2 linked regions of the Daphnia pulex genome follow. The protein of the gene in region 1 interacts with the protein of each later gene in a biochemical or structural test. Links are inferred from orthologs where the notes say so. Each region holds a gene or a part of one and is shown on either strand. Other genes may lie near its edges.

Region 1 (3,889 bases):
ATGAAAAATCAGCTGAGGTTCGCATTGCTAAAGTTGCAATTGCTCTCGCCACCTTGTTCGTTTTCGCTTGGACTCCTTATGCCTTTGTGGCTCTCACAGCCGCTTTTGGAAATAGGTGAGATAATACTTTCAACAAATTTGTTCTCAAATAAATCACCATCGTCATCTTTTCACAGGTCCGTCCTGACACCACTTCTGAGCACGGTGCCTGCCTGTTGTTGTAAATTGGTATCCTGCATCAACCCATGGATCTATGCAATCAACCATCCCCGTTATCGGTAACACATCTTATTCATAGTGAAATGACAGTCATTCTTACCACATTTTTCTTCATCCTTTCAGCATGGAACTGCAGAAGAAAATGCCCTGGTTCTGCATTCACGAGCCTGTTCCTACCAACGACGATTCGAGCGTCGGTTCGGCCACGACAGAAATGTCTGGTGTCTCCAAGGAAACTTCTTCGTAAAATCTGCATAGCCTTTAATTATTTTGACCAAGGACCGAAACAGGATCATGAACATAACCTTCCGAAGAAAAAATCATCCATAGCAATTAGTAGTAGTTTTAATATCCCACAATATATATTGATTTGTTGAATTACAAATAAACAAACCCAGCATAACAAAAAGGAGTCATCATCACTTAATCGTACGATTTCGTCAACATTTGAGCGTTTCCTATTCACAAGCCTCTAAAAATTGGGGTAAAAAAAATTTGAATAATTTCACAAAGGCCGCCAATAATTTCAAACGCCTTAAATGTTTTTGAGGCTTTGAATATGAGTAGTGGCCCAACTCCATGACTGATAAAAATATAGCTCGAAATAACTGAATGGCATCAAACAGCTAACAATTTACTTTTGGACAAGGTTATTCCTTTGGTTTAGCTACTGTATATCAGTCAAATGAATTATTTGGGAGTCGAACTTTCGTGTTTGGCCAAAATTTTGATGTAATTCGCAGGTACGAGGCCCGTGTGTTGTGAATCGGTGCCGGCAAGCATCCAGCCTTTGATGCGAGGCTGAAGGGAACGGGGAGCCAAGCGTAGGGATTGGCCAGCTCTGAAACTTAATTCTTGTTCGTTTCCGGCATTGAAATCATAATCTGCCTGAGCAGTATAATATTCTCCTAGGCCATCAGCCCACTTTTTTCCTAGAGCATTAAAAGATTAGATAATTTGAATAAGCGAGTTTATGAAACAAAAGTTAGTGTGTTAACGCACCTAGTGCATCCGGAGCACTGTCTAGGGAAGATATGATCCTCCATATGAAATATGGGGCAGAAATGATTATGGCAAGGAACAAGGTGATGGGCCATGATGATCTGGACTTTTTAATATCAGCTTCAGTCAATAGACCCGCAGATAAGGCATCCGAATTTGATACGGCAGTGGACCATGCCGTATTGATTGGATTTTCTCGTCTCAAACCTGTAAACACAAGGGGGTTTAGTTGATAACAATGGCTGCAACTACTGCGTCGAGAATTTGCATAATCAGACATACCAAATATGTAGAATAATTTGTGTAGAGCCCATTTTGCCGTACGAAATATGGCCAATGCAGAAAACACCTTGCTTAAATGTGTTCGCATTCGGGAAAACTGATCAGCCATACCCAATACGGCTCTGAAAGAGCTGTAAACAGCATTCAAGGTTGAATCCAGCATCATGCTAATGGAGCTAAATGCATGGACAATTGATTCCAAGCTCTGAAATGCAGGTTGAGAACTCTCTTCTGCCATGGAAATAAACCTTGTTTGAGAAAAAATAATGAAATTGTTGAATTGTTGTAAGTATGATTATTTTAATTTTTAAAATTTTACCTGTTATCACTTGTCCCTCCATAACTTCTCCCTCCATAAGAGTTGTAACTTCCATATCCACCATAGCTGTTACCATAGCCTCCATAACTAGTACCATAGCCACTAGAAAGTCCCGAATAACCCCCATATCCACTACTGTAACCGTAAGGGCTTGAATAACTTGAAATGCCTGTTCGATATGGAGAATAGCTTGAAACTGCACCATAATCATTGTTTGTTGGGTTTGCCCCGGGTACTCTAGGAGGCAGTGGTGGGACGCCAGGCCCTGAAGCTGTAAAAGCACTTCCTCCACCCCCACTAAAATAATCAAAACAGATATTGATGAAGGTAACAAACCAAACAAATGAACTAAACACAACATGTATTACGCACCTGACGATGGGTGTAGGTAAGGTGTTGCCAATGTCGCCACCAAAAGCTCGTGAATTTACACCAGCCCTTTCCCACGGCTTTAATGGAGCTGCCATGGCGTTGAACGATTCAGACTAAAAACTCGAAGACTTTGCCTCGATTTGCTGATAAATCCAGCGAACTCTGATACAGAAAACGGAATCGACTTGTCAACAACAAGACGACACCATTATAAAAATTCCGAAACGAATGAGATGAGTTTGTACACCGGTAGATGGTAGTAGTGTGAAAATTTCTTTCAATTCAAAAATCTGCCGCAAACTTTTAAATACGTTAAGGATATAACTAAGTAACAATACACACGCGTTGATGCGTAATATCCTTGTCTGTTTACTTTTACTGTTTTGAAATTAAGTCTGACGACTATTTCAAATTTAATCAGATTTATTAATATCTTTTTTTTTACTGCAACATATTCAACATAATCGACAATGAAGTTTGATTATAAGGAATGATTCGGATGAAGCTAAAATGCTTGGGAAACCACTCAACATAATCTAAACATGTCAGGGATGAAGAAAGGGAGAGAGAGAGAGTGAAAAAAAGTTGAAGTAGAGAGCACATCATAAATAGGAATTGAAGAAAAAGGTTCTCGGATTCACGCTGGCAAGCAATCACTCCGGTGAGATTGAATTTCTATTCGTTGTCGTGCAGCAGCCAATTATTGGAGCTGCCTAAGGCTATAGGATTGGGGAAGGAGGAGAGTTGGGAATGGCCTCCAAGTGCCTGCACACAGCAGCACAGCTCTCACCAACCCGGTTCTCTGGTAGTAGTTGTGTAATAATTCTGCTGAGTGCGGTCGTGAAGCGTGCGTGATTCCTGATGTGTATTCAACCACCATTGCCCACCCCCCTATTCAGCCAACGTCGACTGCCAATAGGTTTCATGAACGCCTGCACGGCAGCGTTATGTAAAGAACTCGGCTCTGAATAGAAACTGCTAAACATCTCACTGAATAGTTGGGGCAGTCATTTCATAACAAACCCATCAAATCAGGTTCTCTTTTTAAAAAGTTATGAACGGAATCCTCCACAAAATCAGAGAGCAACGAGAAGAATATTTGAACAACAAAATCCGAGAATTTTCGAAGGATTGAATCTATAACAAACAAACTCTCCAACGTGAAAATTTCTCGATAAATATTCACCGTGAATACGACCATCATTAGATTGAAATGTAGTGGGCGTTATGAAAGAAAGTGAATTCATCTAATGCATCCTCTTGATCTTATAGCCCTGGCGCAACGTAGAATACCGTGCCTAAATATCTGGGCTGCGGTTGTTCATTCCGACCATCTGCATCTTTTCCGATTAGCCTTAAAAACGAGGAAAATAAATATTCAGCCAGACATCCCCATCAGCAGACATTACACATTTACCAGGACTGTGTCCACACATTCTGGTGTAAAGAGTGAAGCGAAAAAATCGGCAGCACATAGTAACCAACAGTGATGTTATTACCATGATAAACGCGACGAAAACTGCAGCTGGCACTGCACTCTGCATGCGGCGCTTCTGCTGTTATTGTCCCGCCATAACTGTGTAATTATCAAGTCAACAACAGCACACACATTCCTTTTCTCTTTCTCTCTCCCAGCATGGCGTATAGATTTATTTACTAATATTCCAACTATAGTATATTAGGAGCCGCAGGAAA
Region 2 (3,522 bases), on another chromosome or scaffold:
GGGGTGATTCAAAAACCAGTGCCTTATCTTCAGTATATCACAACTCCATTGACAGTTAAATCTGATACTTCCAGAATGCCAAGACCGCCTGTTAAAGTTGTTACTCCAGCAAAAAGGATTCCCCTTGAAACATTTTCCTCGCGTTCGTTCTCGATTGCTAACTCAGGAAACCGAACAGGTATTTAAAAAATATAGTATATGTATGCTTTAATGATCAAGGTGATTTTAACTTGAATTAACTTGTCCGTTTCACAGGCAGCAATGGCCAGGTACAACTCTGGCAGTTTCTCCTTGAGCTGTTGACCGATGTGAATTTCCGGGATGCTATTTCTTGGCTTGGGACAGGAGGAGAATTCAAATTAAATAACCCCGAAATGGTGGCTCAACTATGGGGAGAAAGGAAAAACAAACCACACATGAACTATGAGAAACTCAGTCGAGCCCTGAGGTATTATTATGATGGCGATATGATTTGCAAAGTAAGCGGTAAACGATTTGTGTATAAATTTGTTTGTGACCTCAAACAACTGTTGGGCTATTCGGCTGATGAACTTAATAAGCTTGTAACAGAGTGTGAGCAACGATCCAAAATGAGACGGGCAAGTTCGTCATACGTGTAAATACAAAACGTATTTGTTTAAATCATTGAGAATTGACGCCATTAATGATAAAATTAAGTTGTAATGCCGTTCAAACAATTTTTTTTAACGACCTTCTAATACCTTTTATAGCCCAATTTCAATAACAAAAACATGTTTTATAACATACTATATTAATTACATAACAACACAATTTTCGGCACCAGGTCCCATCGATTGAGCAAAATCCGCGCCACCGAAGGGATTCGGTAGCAGTTCAGCTTCACCAGCCAGTTCCTTGAAATTAAGATTTTTCATTAAATGAAAATCAATCAAATTATTCGTAGTCGCACTCACTTTAGGGGGATGGCCACATTCTTGCATTTGTTGCATCAAAGTTAATATCTTTTCAAAGCGACTATTTTTCGTCGCTGCATCATCAGTGTCGTTATCATTTTCGAATTCGGTACACACTTGCTGCATAACGGCGTATTGGCGGTTGTATTTTTCAAATTGCGCAGGTTCTAATTTCGGCCGATTGTCTGCGAGCCAATCTGGGTACTAAGGAGATAACAATAAGTTATGAGAGACAAGATTGACTATCATCAGTTCTCAAGTGAATGCTTACCTTGCTAACAATCTCTTTGATAGATGGATAAAGCAACTCCTTTGATAACAAACTTTGAAGCATTCCTTGCATTGCAGGTAAAATGTCACCCAAACCTCCCATATCTCCACCAGCACCATCTCCAAATCCCCCATCTGGTCCAAATGCCATTTTTTCAAGCATTTTGGCTAATGTAGCTTCATCAGCTTCAGTCTATGGAAAAAATAAGGACATGTTAAAGTAAAAATAAAAAAGTTTGGTTTATCCTACCCACAAAAATTTACCTGAAGTGATTCTGTTCCTTCTGCTAAATAGCGTAGAGTATCAGCAAAGGATGCTCCCTGGTCTGGTTGTCTTTCAAATACTTTAGCTGCAGCTTCTTGTGATACCTTTAACAAACTTTCAGCAAATCCAGAATCACCACTGGCCCCTGGTGCTGTTTCTGCCATCATCAAACGAATATTTTTCTCAAATTCCAAACTCGCTTCTTGAATAAACTCCTCAGACCACACAACATCTGATACTTGATCTGTAGGTGCTGCTGCTTCGGCTTTAACATTGTCTTTTGTTTTGGGCACTTGCAGTGGCTTGTCAAATCCTTCCAGGGCATCTGTTACATTTAATGAATGTTTTATTCCTTTGTTGGCAAATAACTAGTTAGTTTAAACTACATACCGTCAAGTAAAGCGTCTAGTTCTTCGTCATCTCCTTTAGATTCTTCTTTAATATCTGCCGTATCTTGTACAGACTTTGGATCATTAGAACCGGTTCCACTCATACTGAAATGTATCTATTTACAGCAAAGTACAGAATTGTATAAGTAGAAATAGATTTCGATATCAATAATATCGACACAGGCTTCAAAACTTGCTCATCCGGAAATTTCGACAAGGAAAAGAGTGCAAGACCAGACAAGACGACGAAATACTACCTCATAAATAAAACGCGATGTTGCCGAAATCATTCGGTATTTAGTGATGGTTCGTGCGTGCGTGAATGAAGCAGATGCGCTTCATCATGATTCATGAATGCTTGTTTATTAAAATTATATTTGGCGTGAAAAATGAATTAAAACAAATCACTTTTTTTTTAGGTTTTGAATTTTGCGTCTTTATTGGGAGAGTAAAATGTATTTTTTGTTCTGAATAACAGAAGCGACTGCTCATTCATAAATATTTTCTAAACCTAACAGTAATATTTCGTAACATAGTCAAAATCAAAGATTTCCATTAGGGCGGTTGCTTTAAGCTTAGTCTTGCTTTAACAAATGAAAACAGAACATCGAACATGTCGTTATATCCCGTTGTTACCAGTCGAGCAGTCGTTACCATCCCGCCTTTGCTTCAAAGTTCAAATCAATTTCACTTACCTGCCAGACCCAAATTAAAAGCTATGAAAGAAGGAATTTTGAAAAAGTACGTTCAGTTGGTAAAGGTAATATGTCTTCCGACAAAATGACAGTAAAAATTGTGATATTCTATAACGTACACGGTGGTCTGCCTTGCCGCAATAGTGCTTGTCCATTGCTGATACCAAAATCAATACATGAGTAGTAGTTTTCACTGATCCTCCAATATCTTGCTTCGTTTTATTCTTCCTCTTCTCTTCTTCACGAATTGCTGTACTACCGATTCTGGAATGACACATCGCGAATGTTCACCAAATCAAGAAAATTCACCATCTAGCCTACCTGGTATGATTTCGAGATGGTGGAGTCATTTTTTTTTTTAAGGCAAACTTCAATTGCTTAAAAAAATAATTGACACATAATGTGTTGAATGCTGATAAAATGGAAATTCAAGTATGAATCAAAATGAGTGAACTTAAAAAAATGCAAGTAATGCATCTGTATTTCATTCATTAAAAATGTAAACATTCAACATGACCTGCACCAACCCAATTTCACCCCTGATACTAGTTAATAAAAAAATTTTGGTTTTAAACACGCGATCCATATTCTAACAGAGTTTTAAATCATTTTAGATAACAGCTTATAGCTGTAACGGATTAATAACCTTTATGTGATAAAGTTACAGGACGAACATTTAGGCTGCAATTTCTATTGGTAATGAATTCGGCTGAAGTTCGTTTGGGGGACATTTTTACTCTTTAAAAAAGACACAGTTTAACCACTGTTAAACGAGAACAAATGATCATAGCCAAATGATTCGTAGCACCTCCTAAGTACTAATAAGACCGGGGAAAACTGTATGGGTGCTCAGTATTTGCATGTAAGGAGAAACGATACACAAAAAGGAGAAAAGCACTGGAAGAGCACTTCAAGTTTAACGTGGAATTAAAAATAAAAATTTTCGATATGGGGAACAAATTGCTTTG

Evidence for each region.
Region 2: the proteins of peroxisomal membrane protein PEX13-like (region 1) and peroxisomal biogenesis factor 19-like form a complex in vitro, tested with the Homo sapiens proteins (2 studies listed by BioGRID and IntAct, with this or other methods). The link is inferred for Daphnia pulex from reciprocal best matches to the Homo sapiens genes PEX13 and PEX19.

Annotation. Positions count from the first base shown.
Region 1 is NC_060017.1:2,686,712-2,690,600, forward strand, and holds peroxisomal membrane protein PEX13-like, read right to left. Parts: upstream 2,420-3,889; 5' UTR 2,290-2,419; coding exon 2,195-2,289; intron 2,120-2,194; coding exon 1,823-2,119; intron 1,752-1,822; coding exon 1,504-1,751; intron 1,429-1,503; coding exon 1,222-1,428; intron 1,152-1,221; coding exon 910-1,151; 3' UTR 560-909; downstream 1-559. Other genes in the region: opsin, ultraviolet-sensitive-like, read left to right, coding at 1-115, 177-278, 343-466. UniProt on the Homo sapiens protein: Component of the PEX13-PEX14 docking complex, a translocon channel that specifically mediates the import of peroxisomal cargo proteins bound to PEX5 receptor.
Region 2 is NC_060022.1:6,085,141-6,088,662, reverse strand, and holds peroxisomal biogenesis factor 19-like, read right to left. Parts: upstream 2,121-3,522; 5' UTR 1,964-2,120; coding exon 1,861-1,963; intron 1,796-1,860; coding exon 1,470-1,795; intron 1,399-1,469; coding exon 1,207-1,398; intron 1,140-1,206; coding exon 936-1,139; intron 876-935; coding exon 777-875; 3' UTR 662-776; downstream 1-661. Other genes in the region: DNA-binding protein Ets97D-like, read left to right, coding at 2-178, 256-620. UniProt on the Homo sapiens protein: Necessary for early peroxisomal biogenesis. Acts both as a cytosolic chaperone and as an import receptor for peroxisomal membrane proteins (PMPs).